Linked DNA regions of Xenopus tropicalis. The protein of the gene in region 3 purifies or fractionates together with the protein of the main gene of each other region. This does not show direct contact. Links are inferred from orthologs where the notes say so. Each region holds a gene or a part of one and is shown on either strand. Other genes may lie near its edges.

What was found.
Region 1: the proteins of gosr1 (region 3) and napa purify together in Homo sapiens (affinity purification with mass spectrometry; 3 studies listed by BioGRID and IntAct, with this or other methods). This does not show direct contact. The link is inferred for Xenopus tropicalis from reciprocal best matches to the Homo sapiens genes GOSR1 and NAPA.
Region 2: the proteins of gosr1 (region 3) and bet1l purify together in Homo sapiens (affinity purification with western blotting; 3 studies listed by BioGRID and IntAct, with this or other methods). This does not show direct contact. The link is inferred for Xenopus tropicalis from reciprocal best matches to the Homo sapiens genes GOSR1 and BET1L.
Region 4: the proteins of gosr1 (region 3) and stx12 purify together in Homo sapiens (affinity purification with mass spectrometry; 3 studies listed by BioGRID and IntAct, counting the BioPlex papers as one, with this or other methods). This does not show direct contact. The link is inferred for Xenopus tropicalis from reciprocal best matches to the Homo sapiens genes GOSR1 and STX12.
Region 5: the proteins of gosr1 (region 3) and stx5 purify together in Homo sapiens (affinity purification with western blotting; 3 studies listed by BioGRID, with this or other methods). This does not show direct contact. The link is inferred for Xenopus tropicalis from reciprocal best matches to the Homo sapiens genes GOSR1 and STX5.

Annotation. Positions count from the first base shown.
Region 1 is NC_030684.2:79,904,248-79,908,334, forward strand, and holds the end of napa (alpha-soluble NSF attachment protein), read left to right. Parts: intron 1-574; coding exon 575-625; intron 626-1,326; coding exon 1,327-1,428; 3' UTR 1,429-3,154; downstream 3,155-4,087. UniProt on the Homo sapiens protein: Required for vesicular transport between the endoplasmic reticulum and the Golgi apparatus. Together with GNA12 promotes CDH5 localization to plasma membrane.
Region 2 is NC_030680.2:24,001,412-24,006,476, forward strand, and holds the start of bet1l (BET1-like protein), read left to right. Parts: upstream 1-1,837; 5' UTR 1,838-1,930; coding exon 1,931-1,949; intron 1,950-2,186; exon of another isoform or gene 2,187-2,248; intron 2,249-4,193; coding exon 4,194-4,285; intron 4,286-4,721; coding exon 4,722-4,778; intron 4,779-5,065. UniProt on the Homo sapiens protein: Vesicle SNARE required for targeting and fusion of retrograde transport vesicles with the Golgi complex. Required for the integrity of the Golgi complex.
Region 3 is NC_030678.2:32,037,600-32,040,749, reverse strand, and holds the end of gosr1 (Golgi SNAP receptor complex member 1), read left to right. Parts: intron 1-604; coding exon 605-729; 3' UTR 730-2,176; downstream 2,177-3,150. UniProt on the Homo sapiens protein: Involved in transport from the ER to the Golgi apparatus as well as in intra-Golgi transport. It belongs to a super-family of proteins called t-SNAREs or soluble NSF (N-ethylmaleimide-sensitive factor) attachment protein receptor.
Region 4 is NC_030678.2:83,638,597-83,643,617, reverse strand, and holds the start of stx12 (syntaxin-12), read left to right. Parts: upstream 1-1,764; 5' UTR 1,765-1,785; coding exon 1,786-1,879; intron 1,880-5,021. UniProt on the Homo sapiens protein: SNARE promoting fusion of transport vesicles with target membranes. Together with SNARE STX6, promotes movement of vesicles from endosomes to the cell membrane, and may therefore function in the endocytic recycling pathway.
Region 5 is NC_030680.2:36,552,691-36,557,770, forward strand, and holds the start of stx5 (syntaxin-5), read right to left. Parts: upstream 3,412-5,080; 5' UTR 3,343-3,411; exon of another isoform or gene 3,320-3,342; intron 1-3,319. UniProt on the Homo sapiens protein: Mediates endoplasmic reticulum to Golgi transport.

The DNA.
Region 1 (4,087 bases), on a different chromosome or scaffold from region 3:
GCTATGTGTCCCTTTTTTAAAGTATACATTATTGCATCAAAAATACTACCAATGGTTTTAAAACTTAATGACACTTTATTGGCATATAATTAACAATTTTCTAAGAAACGGCAAAAAGACAGCAACATAGTTCCCACACAGGCCATCTCTTGTCAATAGGCAACAAATGTATTGCTGAGGGAAAACCGGGTGCACAGGGTGAGCCATCACCAACATGGACTATAATGTGAGGCCCTTATGAGTTTTCAGTGGCCACAAGTGACCTCTGACATATACCATATTGTCCATTACTGGGTTAAATACAAAAGGTTTGGTTGAATTTAAATATTGCAAAAAAGAGCTGAATTTCAGACAGCTGTCATTTACATCCTTTATAACATAGAATAAAAGGACAAACTACTAATGATATTTAGTAGTGTATTAACATATTTCATCATCACTTAAAATTGTTTTGCTCCAATTTACACTCATATGTTTATGCATATGCTGAGCAGCTACACTTACTGTACTTGATCCACCTTCCACATGTATTAGGTCACTGTCCTTATGTGTTTTCTCATTTTTCCACCAACAGAAACTACTCGATGCTCATGAAGAGCAAAATGTAGACAGTTACACAGATGCGGTAAGACAATATGTTTCAAATGAATAACATGCATGCGTGAATTTATGCCATAAATTGCAGTCTGATGAACTTAGCATTCTGCTATGATAGCTAAGTATTTCCTTTACAAAACACCACTGCTCAATGGGCACTAAGTTTGCTGCTCATTTCTAATGAATGTAAAATACTTTCTTTAATAAATTGCCTGAGGACTTGATGAGATTTATGATGCCTGTTGGTCTTTGAGATACTCACGTAGGCTAAAAAAACCATATTGTAATTATTATTATTAGCAGCCATTTGGGTAAACACTTACTTGCTGCACTGGATATTCTCATAATGATGACTAAATGGCTCATAAAACTATAATTTCACATATCTGTGACCCTGTTTTGGGTAAACAAAAGCCACAAACAAACCTCTACCTCAAAGAATGCAGCAGATTTCTGCTGATAGCAGCTATGTTTGAGTTAAAACAACAAAGCAACAATTTGTTAATTGCAAGTAATGGTTACAGGATATAGCCTAAATACTTTTTATTTTTTATATTACCTCTCATATTCATCCCACTACTGCCATGTCTTTTGATTTGTGTACCAAACAATTATAAAGTCACTTCTCACCCTACATACACTGAATGTTCTAAAATATTATAAACACTCTATTCCTTTAATGCATCACAACATGATTACAGCCAGATCTGATATATCTCTCTCTTCTAGGTGAAAGAGTATGACTCAATCTCCCGCTTGGACCAGTGGCTGACAACCATGCTGTTACGCATAAAAAAAACCATCCAGGGAGAAGAGGAGGACTTGCGTTAATTCTTAAGGGTGAAACCCTTTCCTCTAGATGGAGCCAGCTGGAGGAATTTGGGGAGGCGGGGGCACTGCTTATATCCTATTTACTATTATTACTCAATTTTCCATCAGTGCAAGTTTCCACACCCTACCTATGTGCTGTGCATTGTGGCCTGCTGTTGCTCTCTGGTTTCAAGCACAGTTGTGGAGTAATGAATGGAAGGAGTTTTTAAACTATGATCAGCCAAAATGACATGTATCTGAATAAACGTACATCTTTAAGCAATTTACCAAATATCCACAACTACATTGCATGTGTTAGCATGTATTTTGCGCCATAGACTTTTCGGCTGTGAGCTCTTCTCCGCCATCTTCTTCCACTCAAGCACTTCATCCCAGCTGGAACTTTCAGAGGGTTTGTTAAAAGGCTTAGTTAAAAACATTGCATGGATTTTAGGAGGTGTGGTGCAATTTAATCTCTTTTACTAATATGTTTTTTTTTCCTTTTTAATAGATTTGTTAATGAGGGAGTAAAATATAAAAATGGAAGAGCATTTTCAAATTTTCTCATGTTCTTAGTGTAGTGGCACAAGGAGCGATTTAGCTCTGGTGATCTACCATTCTGAGGGGGTAGGGACGAAATGCTGCAAATTTTTTGACATTTCCTATTCCATGTAAATAGGAAACATGGCAACAGCGCCTTGTCCTGCTTAGTGACAGGTGCGCATGTTTTCCATCCACACCAAATGAGAGGTAGATTTGTCCCCCCTCCTTCAGGCCAATAAGTTGGTGTGGAGACAAAATGCTGCAAATTTTGCCATGTGCCATTAGCGTTATTGTGCAGAGTGGTCTTAAATGTGTGTATTCTTTATTTTTACTGTTTACTACCTGGTCACTCTAAAACCTGCTGCTAGAAGTAGTAAGATCTTTTCCCAGACCTAGCAAAATTGGACATTATGTCTACACAGTGTTTCTCCTATTAAAATGTGATAGATACATTTGATAAATTAAATAGATACTACCAGAAACAGACACTTTTCAGTCATACTAGAGAGAACCTGTTTTTTGCATTAGTGGTGGATTCAAACTGGTGCAACCAAATGCCAACAGAAGAAAACATTTTTATAAATGCTCTGAAATACTAATGTTTTACTACCCCATTAACTGCACATTGACCAAATGGATGGGGTTCTGCCTCCTCCTCCCTTCTTATATAGTTTGCATTAAATTGAGTATGAAATAGAATAGCTGTATTATATATGTTTCCACTCATGGAAACCAAAACCAGAATGACTGCATCCTGGCAATGCGGTATGTTTAACTATAAATACAGTTGCTATTTATTTATCCTTAGATCTTAGAAATGATATGTACCCAATTTAAAGTTTATAGCGGTACAAGCAATTCTTTATTGAATAACTGGCAATTTGCCATCATTGTAGCATCTAACTAATGTTTCCTCTAAGTAAATTTTAATAGCAGTAGACCTGTGAAGTGCAGCAATGTCCACATATCAGGTGACAGATCTAGAGGGCAATTTAAATTCAAATGATAGGTTACTGTAAATCTGCTACTTAGTGGCACGTTCTACCCTTACATATTGTTCTAAATGTTCTGTCTATATTTTTGTTTTGCCTCTTAAACAGGCTGTATTTTACATTAATTAAGTTGTATCCAAGCCTCTGTTATCTTGTGAACCATCCTATCACACAGCGAAACTGATAAATAAAGTAAATGAGATATTAACCAATTTTGTTTTACAGAAGTTGATACATTAGCCAATACCAGGGGTGAATCAGCCACATCTGATTTACACAGACACCTGTATATGTTTGCATGCACTGTGACCATATTGTATGATTAAAACACATTTAATCAAGTACAGGAATTTGGGCAGCAATACAGATATCAAAAAGGGATTTGGGATTTAAACCAGTCCCTGGTTTAAATCATACTAGCAAGTTTTTCCGATCAGACAAGTCCTGCAAAGAGGCACTACATAAACATATATGCTATATGTAGTGAGATTATTCTTTACCATTTTACCATTAAAGTGTTGAGCTAATTTTACTTATAAAAGTAGGGCGTACCTGCATGTGGTTTAAAATATGGGTTTATGCAGAGAATTGCAAGAAGTTCCTCATGCAGGGTCACATGTTTTCAAGTGATATGTACTTGTCACTAATCAGGACAAGTAGACATGATGCAAGTGTTGTGTGCAGCAGTTCAACTTAAAGGAATACTGTCATGGGAAAATATGTTTATTTCAAAACACTTTAGTTAATAGAGCTTCTCCAGCAGACTCCTGCATGTTTATTTTTTAAATTTCACATGGGGCTAGCCATATTCTTAATTTCTCATGGTGCCGCAACCATGTGACTTGTGCTCTGATAAACTTCAGTCACACTTTACTGCTGAGCTGCAAGTTGGAGTGATATCACCCCCCTCCCTTTCCCTACCAGCAGCGATCAGCAGAACAATGGGATAGTAGCAAGGTAGCAGCTCCCAGTAGATTTCAGAATAGCACTTAAGGTGGCCATACACGCACCGATATTATCGTACGAAACCTCGTTTCGTACGATAATCGGTGCGTGTATGGCATGTCAGCGAGCCGACCGATATCGCAGGAAGCTGCTGAAATCGGTCGGCTCGCCGATCGGCCAAGTTAGAAAATTTTGATCGG
Region 2 (5,065 bases), on a different chromosome or scaffold from region 3:
TAAATACTAAATCTAAACACCATCTTTACCAATCACTCCTAGCTTTATTAGTTTTAAAGTGCAGAACTACAATATCCAGAATCCTCTGAAAGTCTCTTCCTGTTGTATCATGTAGTCAATATTCCTTCTAATAAATGCACACAAATTGTGGCTCAAACAAAGTATTTTGGTACATTTTCAGAATCCCCCACCTCATACAGTGATCCCCAACCAGTGGCTCGGGGGCAACATGTTGCTCCCCAACCCCTTGGATGTTGCTCTCAGTGCCCCCAAACCAGGTAGTTATTTTTGAATTCCTGACTTGGTGGCAAGTTTTGATTGAATTAAAACAATATTTAGTACCAAATAAAGCCCCCTGTAAGCTGATAGTGTGCATAGAGGCTACCTAATAGCCAATCTTAGCCCTTATGCGGTCCCCGATCCGACTAAATTTTTTAAACTGCCCGATCGATATCTGCCCGATTTCAGGCCAGGTATCGGTCAGGCAGGCCCGTCGTTATTGCCCCAACATGGGCCGATGAGCTGCTGAAACGGTCTAAGGGACCGATATCGGCAGCTAGTATCGGCCCGTGTATGGCCATCTTCAGGCGGTACATGGTATGAGATTAGACTGCATGTTGGTATCTAAGGTAAAAGACAGACAGGACAATTAAAAACACAATCACCGAAACTAATCGACATAATGGATATTTCCATACATGAACATACAGGTCGCCGCCTGTGGAATTTGCTGTATGGGACAAGTCAGCATTGTTATAGCCACAGTAGTCACATTAGTCACGGTGACTAATCGCCCTGATTTCCAACACCAGCACTAAGACATACTTTAAAGAACAGTAACACCAAAAAAATGTATGTATCACAGTAGTCACTATATTTTGTACCATTGCCCTGCACTGGTAAGTTGTGTTTGCATTAGAATCTCAACTATATTTTATATAAACAAAGCTGTATCAAACTGAAATAAGGCTAAGGGCTCTGGCACACGGGGAGATTAGTCACCTCGCGAGTCTTTTTCGGCGATTTCGTGAAATCGCGCCGCCGCGTGTGCCATCCCGCCGGCGACTTACATGTTCACATGTTCGCTCATGGCAACTCGGGGAGATTAGTCGCCCGCGAACAGGGAGTTTTGTCGCGGGCGACTGATCTCCCCGTGTGCAAGAGCCCTAATTGACACAGGTTACACAGCTGATAATAGATAAGCAGTGTAGTTTCCCATTGTATTCTAGAGAGCTTATCAGTTTTTTGTCTTTTGTCCTCTTTTTTTTTTGCCACCTTTTCTGAAAATAAATACCGGCCTTCCTATATTTTTATCTTTTTTTTCTAATAATAACATTGGCACTAAGCATCATTTTTACCAGACAGGTGGCAACCATAACCCCAGGGCTACACAGCAGCTTTGTATATATAAACTAGAGTAGGGTTTATGAAGTAAAAGAACTTTTACTAGTGCAGGGAAACAGTACATTATATTTTAATTACTTGAAATAATTTTCATTTTTTGGTGTCGCCATTCCTTAAAGCACTGGAAGCCTTTTTTGTCACAAACTACATTGAGAGAGGCTCCAAATTGGAGAATATGTGGGGGGAGTATTGAGCTGTAATGTGTAATCTGCTTCCACTGTTTTTGTTGGACCACAAATCCCAAGATCCCCCAAGAGATTCGCCATGTGGGGCGGAGCTAGCCACAACACACAAAGTAGGAGAAGCAAAAGGAGTGCACGTTTCACTTTATTTTTTTTATATTAGGATAATTCGGATAAACTGCTTCCATGGCAACAGCGAACGCCTAAACATTAATAGGCGTGGCTTAATGAGACAGTCCGTCCTTTCTTGACGCACTGACGCAAGGTTGAAGCGTATTGGTGGCTGTGAGGGTGACGTTAGTGACGTGTAATATCCTGCCGCGTCACATTTAGAAGAATCCAAGATGGCGGACTGGGGCAGAGGTACTGGGGTCTAGGGTGCTTGTGTGAGATAAATACGTGTGTTATGTAGGATATCAGTGCTCCCTGAATGCCGAGAGAGTGGGGGCAGCGGCCTGGCAAACAGAGAAGGTGTTTGCGTGGGATTCGCTCTGGGATATTAAGCGTAAAGCAAAGGAACTGAGAGGGAATCTATGCTGGAATTAATGTTTGGGGGCGGTACTCTGTCCTGGGTGGGGCTCTATGCTAGGGGTGGTCTCCATGGGGGCTGTATGGGGAAGTACTCTGAAGGCCTTTGGTGGGTGATTTCTCTGTTAGGGAAGGTCAGTATGGGAATGTGCTGTATACTCTGTACTACACAGTGTTCAGGGTGCGGGGGTTCTACTCTGTGTAGACTGAGACTGTTCTAGGAGTCATTAGAGAGTCGTGGGGGTCTCTAGTATAGTGTTGCAGTCTGTACCAGTCTGTATAGTGTTGCAGTCTGTACCAGTCTGTATAGTGTTGCAGTCTGTACCAGTCTGTATAGTGTTGCAGTCTGTACCAGTCTGTATAGTGTTGCAGTCTGTACCAGTCTGTATAGTGTTGCAGTCGTACCAGTCTGTATAGTGTTGCAGTCTGTACCAGTCTGTATAGTGTTGCAGTCTGTACCAGTCTGTATAGTGTTGCAGTCTGTACCAGTCTGTATAGTGTTGCAGTCTGTACCAGTCTGTATAGTGTTGCAGTCTGTACCAGTCTGTATAGTGTTGCAGTCTTACCAGTACCAGTCTGTATAGTGTTGCAGTCTGTACCAGTCTGTATAGTGTTGCAGTCTGTACCAGTCTGTATAGTGTTGCAGTCTGTACCAGTTCTGTATAGTGTTGCAGTCTGTACCAGTCTGTATAGGTGTTGCCAGTTGCTGTACCAGTCTGTATAGTGTTGCAGTCTGTACCAGTCTGTATAGTGTTGCAGTCTGTACCAGTCTGTATAGTGTTGCAGTCTGTACCAGTCTGTATAGTGTTGCAGTCTGTACCAGTCTGTATAGTGTTGCAGTCTGTATAGTGTTGCAGTCTGTACCAGTCTGTATAGTGTTGCAGTCTGTACCAGTCTGTATAGTGTTGCAGTCTGTACCAGTCTGTATAGTGTTGCAGTCTGTACCAGTCTGTATAGTGTTGCAGTCTGTACCAGCAGTCCCCAGTGTGAGGGGAGTTGGAGATCTCTCTGCTCGTTACTGGGCTGGGGAAGTGTATTAGTGTTGTGCGTGGGTACGGCACCATAAGCAATGATTTCCTGTACTTATAATAATAATATTATAATAAGCACACATTTGGGTGCCTCTCTCTTCTCTTGTTGATATCTGAGGGGCTGTTGTAATAATTTCAGACATAATAGGGGTGGGGGAGGGTTTCATAGGGCTCCAGGTTACTTTCTTAGTGCGTTATAGTCGGCTCCTTGAAGGGGAATTGCTATAAACTTAGCAGTCTCTGAGCACTTTTGCAGTGTGCATTGATTTTCTAGTTTTAATGGTTTGTGAGTCAGTAGCAGATACGTGCTGCCAGGAAGACCTCGGCTCATCAGCTCTCTTTGAATGCCCGAAAAGACTGTGGCCCTGACTGTCTATGCATTTGTAGTTTCTTTTAACCCTGGGGTTTCTGAAATGAATGTATATTGCAAAAAGGCCCAGAGAAACTCTGCCCATATGTGACTATGGCCATATCGCACTAGGATCTGCCTTGCCATGGCCAGATATATATTGATATATATTGAAATTGGCTTTATTGATTATGTTAAATGCACGTCACACATGAGGACTTTAGTCTGGGGATGTGTTTGTGCATTAGGTGAGACAGCAGTCGGGCATCCTGGAAATCCCTTCTTACATCCTGACAGTCTCATTCTAGTTTCCACTCTCGTGATTCAGGGCCGGCACCACTGTCCCTTCCCCGCGTTGTTGGGCCGGCACCACTGTCCCTTCCCCGCGTTGTTGGGCCGGCACCACTGTCCCTTCCCCGCGTTGTTGGGCCGGCACCACTGTCCCTTCCCCGCGTTGTTGGGCCGGCACCACTGTCCCTTCCCCGCGTTGTTGGGCCGGCACCACTGTCCCTTCCCCGCGTTGTTGGGCCGGCACCACTGTCCCTTCCCCGCGTTGTTGGGCCGGCACCACTGTCCCTTCCCCGCGTTGTTGGGCCGGCACCACTGTCCCTTCCCCGCGTTGTTGGGCCGGCACCACTGTCCCTTCCCCTTCCAAAAAAGAAAAACCTGCCATTCAGTTGCTCTTTGTTTTTTTTACAGGGCCAAATTCAGGAGCAGTGGATGAGATGTTGGATGCAGAGAACAAACGGCTGTCAGAAAATCTTTCTTCGAAGGTGACCAGGCTGAAATCAGTAAGTAGGAGTGGTAGATATTCTACAGGAATAAATAACTGATGTGTAGGCCTCTATTCACAGCGCCTTTCTCTTTTGCCTCTCTAACAATTCCTACTATATGCATAAAGTACAGGGCACTTCTGCCTCTCTAACAATTCCTACTGTATGCATAAAGTACAGGGCACTTCTGCCTCTCTAACAATTCCTACTGTATGCATAAAGTACAGGGCACTTCTGCCTCTCTAACAATTCCTACTATATGCATAAAGTACAGGGCACTTCTGCCTCTCTAACAATTCCTACTGTATGCATAAAGTACAGGGCACTTCTGCCTCTCTAACAATTCCTACTGTATGCATAAAGTACAGGGCACTTCTGCCTCTTTTGCCTGGGCTCTGTTCCTGCATAATCACTCGGATATCACAATCTGTTCCTTTTTTTTTTTTTTTTACAGCTTGCACTGGACATTGACAAAGAGGCTGATGACCATAACAAGTACCTGGATGGCATGGTAAGACTCTATAGATACTTCGAATCCCTGTACAAAACAGTCTGTTCATTATCTGTTGTGTGTGTATATATATATATATATATTTATAATAATTATAGTAAAGGTTTAGGATCTGTTATCCAGAATGTTAGTGACATTTTGTTTTCCATAATTTAGAACACCTTAAGGCTACTACAGAAAATAAACATAATATAAACACAAGGATAGTTTAATTAGCATCAATTACAGAGACAAAGGAAATCATTAAAAAAAAAATAACTTTATGGGAAAAGTTTTCTGAATAACTG
Region 3 (3,150 bases):
TCCATTCTGCCCTGCAGCCCCCTCTCATTTCTGTATCGTAGGAGGGTGCAGCCCAGGGGCAACTGCTCTAAAATGGAAACATTTCCATTCCATGAACATGTAGTGATTAGTATAGCGTCCATGGAACTTGGGGTATCCGAGTGGTACGGCATGAGTTTTATTCAGCAATGTAACATCACAATGACTGGTTAAAAAATATATTTTACCATTTATTCCTTTTGTGCAATAATATATGTAAAATGTATAAACTGAGTGCAGTGTGCAGTGTTCTCACACAGAATTCCAGTGTCATTCCAGCTGCAATGGGAGTCGTGCCCACCACAGTTGTTCCAGATGTCAGTGCCAATGCGCTTGTTTGCCATTGTGGCATATGTTTTCCAGAGCACAGTGTTAAAATGGTATTAGCATGTGATTCTTTTAGCCCAAGTCTGCTGCACCTTTTGAGGTAACTTGGGGTGAGAATCCTGGAATTACCACCTTGTTCAGGGTGCAAGTGCAATGACACGCTAGTGTGTCAGGTATATGTTACATGCCCGTACATAGTATCCATGTTAGTTGTGCTGTTCCCATGCTTTTGTTCCAGCCCTTAGCCACGTTCCTACAGATCGTTTTCCCGCCGTTAACAGCCTCATCCAGAGAATCAACCTGAGGAAGCGCAGAGATTCTCTCATCCTGGGCGCAGTTATCGGCATTTGCACTATTTTGTTGCTGCTGTACGCTATCCATTGATGACTGACGCGCCACAGACTAACCAACCACAATCCAGGGCAAAGTCCAGCTGCCATCCAGCCCAAGTGAAGCGCGGAAGGCGCAGTTCAGTGCACACAACCTGTAGATAAGGGAGTGGGATATCTTAAACCAATTTACATTTTATATTGGAAATCTTCATAGCACTGGCAGTATCCCTGTGTTCGCCAGCCCTACGCGCACACAACGACATGTAACTGTTTACTGTATCCATGATGTATCCGGACATATAGACATGTACTTTCCGAGGGAGTTAAACATCCATTGTGCTATGCTGCTACCAGGCCATCAGCCATCAGACCGGCTTTGCCAGCAAGGTATGTGTCTGATTGCCTGAACATTCAGTTTTATGCAGAATAATTGTACAGTGCACTAATTTAGTCACAAATGCATTCTTAACTCCTCCACCCCCCCTAATAAATGCAACATTGTTCATACAAAATGTTTTACTATCTTCTAAAGCCACTCACTGGGACACATGGAACTCAGAGAACAGATATTTGAGGAGGTAACTTGGTTACCAAATAGGTGTCTTTTCTCTCACCTCCCATATGCAACTCACGGAAATCCTGCCAGAGAACATCAGTTTTGGTTGCATCTTTGCAGGAACCTTACAAGCAGTTAGTTACCCATTTGGGACCTTCCAGTGTTCCTCAAGCTGCCTGTGTAGTTGTATGCCCAGCCTATGTAGCGATCAGGTGATTCTCAGCTGGGATGCTGTAATAATCATATTTATCAGAAGGACCTTCCAATTAGTAATTGTGGGATAAATTACCCTTCTTGAGTCCTGTAGCTGGTGGAAATACAAGATTAGTACCAGGTGTGTTTGGGTTTAAAGGCCCTCCCTCATCAAGCTTGGATTTCCTGTCTCCTAAACAAGGGGAAGCCATGCTCAGCCCCCTGCTGCTGCCTGTGTGTATCATGGGAGAAATCTAGCTGGTCAGCAGTGCTCACTGGAAATGCTTTATGCAAAAGGTGTTCCATCATCCAAAAACTGGCACAGCGGATGTCTCGTATAGCTGCTTGGATGAGCTTACCTTCTGCATTCCATAACAGCTGCCACTAAGCCATCACCCCTTTATTGTTCCCAAGCACCCCAACTTTACAGTAAACCCGAATGTTTGCTACTGACATGAGTGGAGCTGGTAGCCTGGTTACATGCAAAGCCCATTACTTTAGTCACCCCGTTGAATAGGAAAGTGTTAATCTCAATTAAAGCGTCTAATCCCAAAGCCTCTACCTGTACATACCCCTCCCCCTCCTAATGGCACTTTCTCATTCGCCTTTACAGATAGCTCCATGAAACTAATGATATTTTATTGCTCTTGTAATTATTTTCCCATTTCTGCACCTAATGTGCATTTTTTCTGTCTGTAATAAAGAAGAAAGCTTTGTTATGTAATTTAATAATAAATTAGAGTTCTACATAGCTCTGCCTCGGGGTTTTTATTGCGATTGGGAGTATTGATCGCTTCTGGAAAGTATGAGTAGGTTTCCGATGGATACCTCGCAAAATAAATAAATAAATGCAAACCAGGATTTGTATCGGCATTTGCCCGGGGGAATGAGAAATCCCTGGACTGCCCCCTTTGCACAGAATGTATCGGAGTCGGCCCTGGCGCACCTATCCCTGCACTGTGTGTGTGTGTCCCTCACTGCGATACATTACATGGGAAGTGCAGCCCTTACTGCCGAGCAGCACCCCGGGGTGTGTGTCCCTCACTGAGATACGTTACATGGGAAGTGCAGCCCTTACTGCCGAGCAGCACCCCGGGGTGTGTGTCCCTCACTGAGATACATTACATGGGAAGTGCAGCCCTTACTGCCGAGCAGCACCCCGGGGTGTGTGTCCCTCACTGCGATACGTTACATGGGAAGTGCAGCCCTTACTGCCGAGCAGCACCCCGGGGTGTGTGTCCCTCACTGCGATACATTACATGGGAAGTGCAGCCCTTACTGCCGAGCAGCACCCCGGGGTGTGTGTCCCTCACTGAGATACATTACATGGGAAGTGCAGCCCTTACTGCCGAGCAGCACCCCGGGGTGTGTGTCCCTCACTGCGATACGTTACATGGGAAGTGCAGCCCTTACTGCCGAGCAGCACCCCGGGGTGTGTGTCCCTCACTGAGATACATTACATGGGAAGTGCAGCCCTTACTGCCGAGCAGCACCCCGGGGTGTGTGTCCCTCACTGAGATACATTACATGGGAAGTGCCACCCTTACTGCCGAGCAGCACCCCGGGGTGTGTGTCCCTCACTGAGATACATTACATGGGAAGTGCAGCCTTACTGCCGAGCAGCACCCCGGGGTGTGTGTCCCTCACTGAGATACATTACATGGGAAGTGCAGCCCTTACTGCCGAGCAGCACCCCGGGGTGTGTGTCCCTCACTGAGATACATT
Region 4 (5,021 bases), about 52 Mb from region 3:
AGTTTAAGGGCCCAGTGATCTTGCTGTGGGGCCCAATAAATAGTCAGTATTAGTTCTTTGAAAGTATCGGACGTTTTTGCATAAGTTACATAAATTGTGTAAGTGTAGGGGCCAAATGATATTGCTATGGGGCTCAATAACCAGTCATTCCACTGCTGAAAAGTTCATGTAGGAGATGCTCATATAATTCAGTAAATGAATCCCAATATAAACAGCTGATGTTACACTATAACATAATTAATATAAATACATAAAATAATATGCCAATAAGTCAGCAAGTCAATTGGGAAGGGGGCAGTGGAATTTACCTTGAGTTTTTTAATTCATTGGTGGTCAGTGGAGTTGGCCTCTGCCAAGTTTCTTTGCCTTGTCTTTACCTTGATACACAAGGTAAGTAAGTTTCTAGGCAGTTTTTACGGAAGTTACACAAATTGTGTACGCTTTGACGGAACTTCATACGTAATAAACAATTTTAATAACTTTGGCAACACTGCCAGGCCCACCATCAGAAGATTATTTCACCGAGCACTGCACAACAGTACCCCTCTCCCCCTGACGGTGGCTCTGAAAGAGAGGATGATAATGGGATGGGAAAGAGGAGAGCAGTTAAGGGGTCTTTTTTTAAAAATTCCTGGCGCACCTCTGCTAATTCAAACTACCGTATTTCTACCTCCCACACACACAATACTTTCTTAAAGATGATTCAAAATGCAGTGACGCAAAGATTTTTGCGTGGCACAATACTCATCACTTGCCTCTGTAAGAACAGTAATCCCTAACCAGTGGCTTGTGAGCAACATAGTGCTCGCTAACCCTAGATGTCTCTCCAGGGGGTCTTAAAGCAGGTGCTTGTTTTTTAATTTTTGGCTTGAAGGCAATTTTTAGTTGCATAAAAACCAGGTGTACTGCCAAACAGAGCCTCCTGTATGCTGCCAGTCCTCATAGGGGCTACCAAATAACCAATCACAGTTCTTATCTAGCAACCCCCAGAAACATCCATACATAAAACGCTGCTATCCACTGGCACTGATGGACTTACCAAACTGCCCTCCCTCAGCATTCAGAGTTCCCAAGAAGTCCAACAGATATTACACATCGCCATGTCCAGACTGGGAGTCAAAATAGGCCCTGGCATTTCAAGTACACAAGAGGTCCAAACAGCCCTCTACCAGCCCAATAAATATTAACTGTCTATAACATCTTACAGCAGCTCCTCTGGCATTTGCCAGAACCCATAGATTGCCAGTCCCAGCCTACACATCACTCATATATAATTCCTGTATATATCACCTTGCCCTTTAACAGCAGCCTTGAACATACATATCACACACTATGCTTCAACTGCTTACCTGTTGTACAGGTAAACAACATTTTACTAAAGATCACAATACTTGTCCCCCATGTGCACCCAGCATATTTCTCATCTCCCTCCATTAAATCCAAGTACTAGGGGTGTAGGGAAAAAAAAATAATTAGACCCAGCAATTGCTCCAGGACCTGGGATATTAAGTACCCCATCCTCCAAAGGCGCACTTGCTGATTTTTATAAACCAGCAGAATTCTACATTTGCATTCCTTGTTCTCTTTAAAGGAGTGGCAACAACAGCATCTTTTCCAAGCTGTCACGTGGTATCATGACTGGGAGGCGCTTATCGCTGATAGGAGCCTGACAATTCCTACGTGACATCACGGTCACATGGCTATGACATCACGACTTCCTTAGAGTCGCTTCATCCCACCATCTCTTATACTCAGAAAGGAGGACGGGGCCCTAAGAGGAGCAACATGTCTGGGTACATGAAGCAGCAGAGCCGTGCCCGGGACTTCAACAGCATTATTCAGACCTGCAGCGGCAATGTGCAGAGGATCACAAATAACAGTCAGTATCCCCAGTTTTTCTACAGAGCACCGGTCCTATTCCTGTATATATATCCGTGATCGCAGCGAGCTGCACACACCCGCAGTATATAGATGGGGGTACTGGTGGAGATTTGAAGGACGAATTGTTAGCCATTGGCAATGGGAACTTTTGGACAACAGAGATTAACATGTTATATGGGCCCCTTGTATTATGTGTAATTCCCAGGTGCTACACACCCACTGATGTACAGGAAGGGCGGCTATACTGACACAGCTGGAAATAGAGAAAATTATTTATATAGCATTGCATATATGGAGACTGGACAGTTGGCAAATGACAAAAATCAACTAATGTTTCCTTGTGTTGGTTGGTGGGTGGGTGTACAGTACAGCAGCTATCAGCTGGCATGTTCATTGGCAGAGGGGCACAGAGAAGCAGGGGTGACAGGCAGGAAGGGAGCTAAGTGCAGTGGGAAGTCATTTCCTACTGGAGATTCCTGATTGGGTTACTGTTACCAAGAAGTTACTACTGTTAGGCTTGTCACCTGGTTGGGCTCTTGCTGTGGTTAAACTACACATTACAATATTATCCTAAAGGCAGCATTTGTAGAAATGTAGTTCAGCAACCAGTGAAATCAGGCTGAGCAGTTTTACCCTCGCTTACTGAATTTGTGTTGAGTGGGTTACATTCCTGCCTTACTCCATGGGGGTTTTTTGTTCCCCCCTAACTGCCTGATCACTGCTTTGCAAGCTCAGAGAAAATTTTGGGCGTGGGCACAAGCAGGATTCACCAGGTCAGGCAGGGGCCATGAAATTGTAATATTTCCTTCCTCCCAGCATGACAGCAGGATAGGAGTTCATAATGTGTGATTTATCATGTTGAATGAATGAGACTTGGCAGGAAATATGTATTTTCTTGTATATCATTATGTATTAGATTCACAGTATTGACTTCTGCCAATCATTACATACCCCCAGAAGTAAGTAAATAAATAAATATGGAGTCTTGGTACTACTGGCCTCTGTTCTTCAAGTCTATGTGTAGTTTCATTCTTAAACAAGTGTTCAGCTCTTAATTAAAGGATGCCATGGAATAGTAGTAAATACGTCATAAGAGCAATTTGTCACTCCCTCTATTTGGACTAGACATAAGACATTTACTATCCAAACATACCCATTCCTTAACCATCTTAAAGGGGCATCTTTAACAAAATTACACTTTGCCTGTTGGTCATGTTAGGTTTAGTAAAGTAAAGGAATTTGGGGGGAAAATACCTTACATTTTTACTTGTTAAAAATCCTATGTTTCCGCTTCCATTTGAAAGTGAAATCACATGATTAATGTCCTTAGTCTAAGAAGGCAGCAGTCAGTCCTGTCTTGCTTTATAGCTGAGAATCTAGTTATCTTTATAACAGAACATTCATTGTACTGTGATTCAAGCAGGCTTGGACTGACATGGTATTTTTTTTTAAAAAGGTTTTTTTGAGATGATAGTATCTTAATTATATTCAGTATTTTTAATGAGAAGTGGTAAATGTGCACTCCATGTGAGAGCCTCTAATTAAAAGTGGATATAGCAAGGACGTAATTCATGTAATGAGATTTTTTGTTCATTGTTCACTATGCTGCTGTTTTTCTTTTTGTAATTATAGACTAGCACAGTGCAGTGTTTACAGGAAAATTGCTGCTGTCCTACAAATGACTGTTATTGTATGTTTTGGAATGGCCCAGTTATTCTGCACTGATAACAGCACACTGCTGAGATCTGATAACTGTGTTTTCAGCTTCTCGGTATGCTGTCAAGGTGTGTTGTTGTGTCATACTGATATAAGGTGCACTGTTGTCATGAAGTGCGGTACAGGTTGAAGTTACATAGTCTTTTTCAGATAGGTAATGTTTTATTGGGCATGTTCAGCAAATATAATTTATACAGAGACTTTACAGGTTTTCACAGGAATTTGTTGGTGAAAAAGGTTCCTTCCATAACCTAAAGCTTTAACACTGAAGCCTGGCATCCCCCTACCCCCTTTACTTACCTGTGGCACTTGTCTAGTCAAGGTTGATTTAAACAGTACTTCCAGCCTTGTCGGGTCAGTACCACACCCAAAGCCCAACATCTTCAAAACAGCAGCCATTTCTAAAAAAGAAGTTGAAGTCTGGTACAGGTAAATAAAGAAGGTGCAATATTTTAGTTGTAACTCATTAGAGATGGCCTAGAAAAGGAATATCAATAATAAATATAAATTTCTATTAAAAAAAAAAAAAAACACAGGTACAGGTATGCGACCTATTATCCAGAATGCTAGGGACCTGAGATTTTATGGATAAGGGATCTTTCTGTAATTTGGATCTCCATAGCTTAAGTCTACTAAAAGATTATTTAAAAATTAACCTCAATAAGCTTGTTTTGCTACCAATAAGGATTAATTTTATCTTAGTTGGAATCAAGTTCAAGTAACTGTTCTGTTATTACAGAGAAAAAGGACATTTAAAAAAAATATTAGAATTATAGGCTTATAATGGAGTCAGTGGGAGTCGGAACTTCCTGGATAAGGGGTTTCCTGATAACAGATCCCATACCTGTACAGGTTTGGGATCAGTTATCTGGAAGACTTCAGACCTGGGGTTTTCCGGATAAGAAGTCTTCCCATGATACTGATCTCAGTACCTTTTTTAAATTTGTTAAAAGGAAAAAAATAATCTGCTACCAACATGGATTTTACTAATTTAGTTACCATGCAAGTACAAGGTACTGTTTTCTTATTACAGGCAGTATGGCCACTTATGACCCACCCCCATTCTGGTCGAATCATTGGAATACACAAGTACAGGTGATTTTCACAAAGACCACCCTTGAAAATATGCACAAGGATTTCAGATGAGAATCCCATTATAATCGCCAGTAATAGCTTTTCCATATGTATTATGGGGCTATAATATGAGTCTATTTTTACACTCTTTAAAGTGAAGATAAGTATGCTGGTTACAATTTCTGCCAACTCCTCCTTGCAAAAATTTTCCAGATCTTTCAAATTTCAAGGGCATCTATTGTGCACAGCCCTCTTCAGGTCACCCCCAGATTTTCATTCAGATTAAGGTCTAAGCTCTGGCTGGGCCATTCTGGAAAATGTATCTTTCTTTGGTGAATCCATTGCTTTGT
Region 5 (5,080 bases), on a different chromosome or scaffold from region 3:
GTTCATATAAATAAAGTTTCTGTATAGCCATGGAGGTAGCTATTCCAGCAAGAAAAAAGGAGAAAAGGCACAGGTTACATTGCAGATAACAGATAAGCTCTGTAGAATACAATGATGTTTTACAGTGCTTATCTATTACCGGATATGTAAACTGTACCATTTAGCCCTATTTCAGTTTAAATGGCTGCCCCCATAGCTACACAACAGCTTTGTTTATATAAACTATAGTAGAGTTTCTGAAGCAAATGCACAACAATACATTACATTTTAATTACTTTGATTTTCAGTAGTCCAATAAAAAGAAACCAAGGGATGCTCTTAAGAATATTGGCATACAGCATTGACTGCATTACATGCATCAGAATACATTTTTATGTAAAACTCCAGTCTTGATCTCAGACATGATGTTATGCTTTGTATGTGTTATGTTATCTGCCCATGTATGACCAAGCAGGCTGGACATTTATCATGTACAAAACATAAAGTACTTAGCACCTCCTTTGGGGAGAAGCGTTCTGAAGGAGGCCCACCAAATAGTACCCCAATGGGGCCAACAGCAATGCTTTCTTACTTTTTAATGCAGAAAAATCTGGGCCCCACTTGCCAAGGCAGGTAATGTAATAATTGCCCAATAAGTTGGTTTCTGTGGAGTGACCATTTATTATTAGAGCCATGGCCAGCCAGAGAGACAGACAGGTAGTTACAGCCATAGGCAACAAGACAGCCAGGTAGTTGCAACCATGGCCCGTCAGGCAGCCAGGTAGTTGCAACCATGGCCCGTCAGGCAGCCAGGTAGTTGCAACCATGGCCCGTCAGGCAGCCAGGTAGTTGCAACCACGGCCAGACAGGCATGAAGTCACAACCATGGCCAGTCAGGCAGTTAGTTACAGCCATGGCCAGTCAGGCAGTTAGTTACAGCCATGGCCAGTCACTTACAGCCAGGTAGTTACAGCCATGGCCAATCAGACAGCCAGGTAGTTACAGCCATGGCCAGTCAGTTACAGCCAGGTAGTTACAGCTATGGCCAGTCAGACAGCCAGGTAGTTACAGCCATGGCCAGTCAGACAGGCATGAAGTTACAACCATGGCCAGCAAGCCAATAGTTACAGCAATGGCCAGCAAGACATGCAGTTAGTTACAGCCATGGGAAGTCAGACAGCCAAGTAGTTACAGCCATGGTCAGACAGCCAGGTAGTTACAGCCTTGGCCAGTCAGACAGCCAAGTAGTTACAGACTTGGCGAGTCAGACAGCCAGGTAGTTACAGCCTTGGTCAGTCAGACAGCCACGTAGCTACAGCCATGGCCAGTCAGACAGCCAGGTAGCTACAGCCATGGCCAGTCAGACAGCCAGGTAGCTACAGCCATGGCCAGTCAGACAGCCAGGTAGCTACAGCCATGGCCAGTCAGACAGCCAGGTAGCTACAGCCATGGCCAGTCAGACAGCCAGGTAGTTACAGCCATGGCCAGACGGGCAGCCAGGTAGTCACAGCCATGGCCAGTCAGACAGCCAGGTAGTCACAGCCATGGCCAGTCAGACAGCCAGGTAGTCACAGCCATGGCCAGTCAGACAGCCAGGTAGTCACAGCCATGGCCAGTCAGACAGCCAGGTAGTCACAGCCATGGCCAGTCAGACAGCCAAGTAGTCACAGCCATGGCCAGTCAGACAGCCAGGTAGTCACAGCCATGGCCAGTCAGACAGCCAGGTAGTCACAGCCATGGCCAGTCAGACAGCCAGGTAGTCACAGCTATGGCCAGTCACACAGCCAGGTAGTCACAGCCAGGTAGTCACAGCTATGGCCAGTCACACAGCCAGGTAGTTACAGCCATGGCCAGTCAGACAGGCATGAAGTTACAACCATGGCCAATCAGACAGCCAGGTAGTTACAGCCATGGCCAATCAGACAGCCAGGTAGTTACAGCTATGGCCAGTCAGACAGCCAGGTAGTTACAGCCATGGCCAGTCAGACAGGCATGAAGTTACAATCATGGCCAGCAAGCCAATAGTTACAACCATGGCCAGCAAGCCAATAGTTACAACCATGGCCAGCAAGACATGCAGTTAGTTACAGCCATGGGAAGTCAGACAGCCAAGTAGTTACAACCATGGCCAGTCAGACAGACAGCCAAGTTGTTACAGCCATGGTCAGTCAGACAGCCAGGTAGCCACAGCCATGGCCAATCAGACAGCCAGGTAGTCACAGCCATGGCCAATCAGACAGCCAGGTAGTCACAGCCATGGTCAGTCAGACAGCCAGGTAGTCACAGCCATGGCCAATCAGACAGCCAGGTAGTCACAGCCATGGCCAATCAGACAGCCAGGTAGTCACAGCCATGGCCAATCAGACAGCCAGGTAGTCACAGCCATGGCCAGTCAGACAGCCAGGTAGTCACAGCCATGGCCAGACGGGCAGCTACAGCCATGGCCAGTCAGACAGCCAGGTAGTCACAGCCATGGCCAGTCAGACAGCCAGGTAGTCACAGCCATGGCCAGTCAGACAGCCAGGTAGTCACAGCCATGGCCAGTCAGACAGCCAGGTAGTCACAGCCATGGCCAGACGGGCAGCTACAGCCATGGCCAGTCAGACAGCCAGGTAGTCACAGCCATGGCCAGTCAGACAGCCAGGTAGTCACAGCCATGGCCAATCAGACAGCCAGGTAGTCACAGCCATGGCCAGTCAGACAGCCAGGTAGTCACAGCCATGGCCAGTCAGACAGCCAGGTAGTCACAGCCATGGCCAGACGGGCAGCTACAGCCATGGCCAGGCAGACAGCCAGGTAGTCACAGCCATGGCCAGTCAGACAGCCAGGTAGTCACAGCCATGGCCAGTCAGACAGCCAGGTAGTCACAGCCATGGCCAGACGGGCAGCCAGGTAGTCACAGCCATGGCCAGTCAGACAGCCAGCTAGTCACAGCCATGGCCAGTCAGACAGCCAGCTAGTCACAGCCATGGCCAGTCAGACAGCCAGGTAGTCACAGCCATGGCCAGTCAGACAGCCAGCTAGTCACAGCCATGGCCAGTCAGACAGCCAGCTAGTCACAGCCATGGCCAGTCAGACAGCCAGGTAGTCACAGCCATGGCCAGTCAGACAGCCAGGTTAGTAGGTATGCGGCGTACTCAAGATTATCTTAACATCAATTCTCACCCAGTGTAGTGATTATCACCTTTAGTGTCATTAGACCCCCCCACAGGCATGACGTCACGGAAGGCAAGCCCCCAAAATCAAACCCTCCCACAGAATGTGGGCAACAAACTATGAGCCCAAGGAGCCCCTTACTGGACCCCGCGCCCTCACATTATAGGAACAGAAACAAACACACCTCCCCCTTACAGTAAATCTCACCGGTCACCGCTTCTCTCTTACTCCCTCTCTCTTTCTGTTTCTGCCGGGGAAAATGCTGACGTCAGCGCCACGTACACACACGTCACCGGCTCCTGTACTTCGCGAGTCGCACTCTGAGTGCGTCAGTCCGGAGGTGTGTTTCTAACCCGGAAGTGTGCGTATTAGTAGTGGAAAGGTTGCCTATAGTAATACGTAGGCGTTATTGTGGAATGGCGTTTCTTTTTAGCTAACTCTAAGTGGCCTTACAACCATGTAATTAATGTCATGACCTTGTTAATCTATCCTAGCATTCTAAAGTGGATATTAATGGGCAAATAAATTCTACTTTCAGCAGAGTACCATATGGCTTTAGGTTATTCAATTGACTTGGTAAATCTGTGCTACCTCAGATGGAAGAACATACCTAGTTTTCTTGCCACCAGCAGTAATGTGAATTGCTAGTGAGAAAACATGCATTGTGAAGTAACCTGGAGCTGCTTTGTAAAGGGGCTGTGCAGATTTACGGTGGACAACAAATGTCCCATGTGCCTTTGCCCTGAGACAACTTTGGAAGCAGAAGTGATGCATATGTGTTCCCAGTACTTCCAACAAGAAGGAAGCTAGGGACGTTTTGTCGCCCATTGTAGCGCAGATTTACCATTGGTGACAAAGTGCCCTGTGTGACTTTGCCATTAATGCTATTACTTGTAATACACCAGCTGGGAAGGACCTGAACCAGTTACAAGGGTAAGATAACACCAGTATCATATTTGCAAGGTTGCATTGACCTAAGGGTGGGGCCTTGAAAAAAACATAAAACTGGACTGGAGTACTGGAGCCTATAAAACATAAAGACTCAAAGTCCTGCTTGATTGTATAAGTGATGCATGATTGTGACGTTAAAGGAGACATATCCTATAAAAATTAAGAATGTACCAGTGAATTATACTCCTCTAGATATAGAAGGATTGTGCTTAAAAAAAGTAGTGTTTCTGACTGAGATTTATTGAGAAATTCCACCAAAACCCCACTAGTCCTGCCCATCTGTTCCACTTCCTGCTGGCTACTTTCACCATTCCCCAATATTTCAACTGCCAATCCAAAGGGGTCATTTACCTAGCCACATGTGAGTGTGGTGCTCAGTATGTGGGGAAAACCATTCGTAAGGTTGGAACTAGGATTCTGGAACACTTATCAGCCGTAGAGAGAAAGGACACGAGATCAGCGATAGCAAAACATATAATAGAGAGACATGAAAGTAGTAATCATGTGACCTTTCAGATTATTGATAGACCTAGTATAAGTGTTAGGGGAGGTGATATAGATAAGAAACTTTCAGAGAGAGAGGTCTTTTGGATATATCGGTTGAAAACAACAGAGCAATATGGGGGCCTCAATAGATGATGGGAATTATCCTGTTTCTACTGATAATCATGTGACCACACCGCTATATAATTGATTAATATTTTTGGAAGCAGTATGTTTATATGTATACTTTTAGTTTAGTATTGTGGTCTGACAATTGGACATATAATCATATATATACAACTTAGAAACAACTTGTAACAATATTTAATACATGTGACTTTTTTGATCTATTGTTACTATTATTATTACTACTATCATCATTATTGTTACTAATACAACACCTAAGCTTACCTAAATGATGTGTGGTTTGGAGGGTACAGTTTTTTATAATTGATAAGCACCCGGGTGGGTGCTCTTTATATGTTTTTATATATACAAGGTTTTCATCACG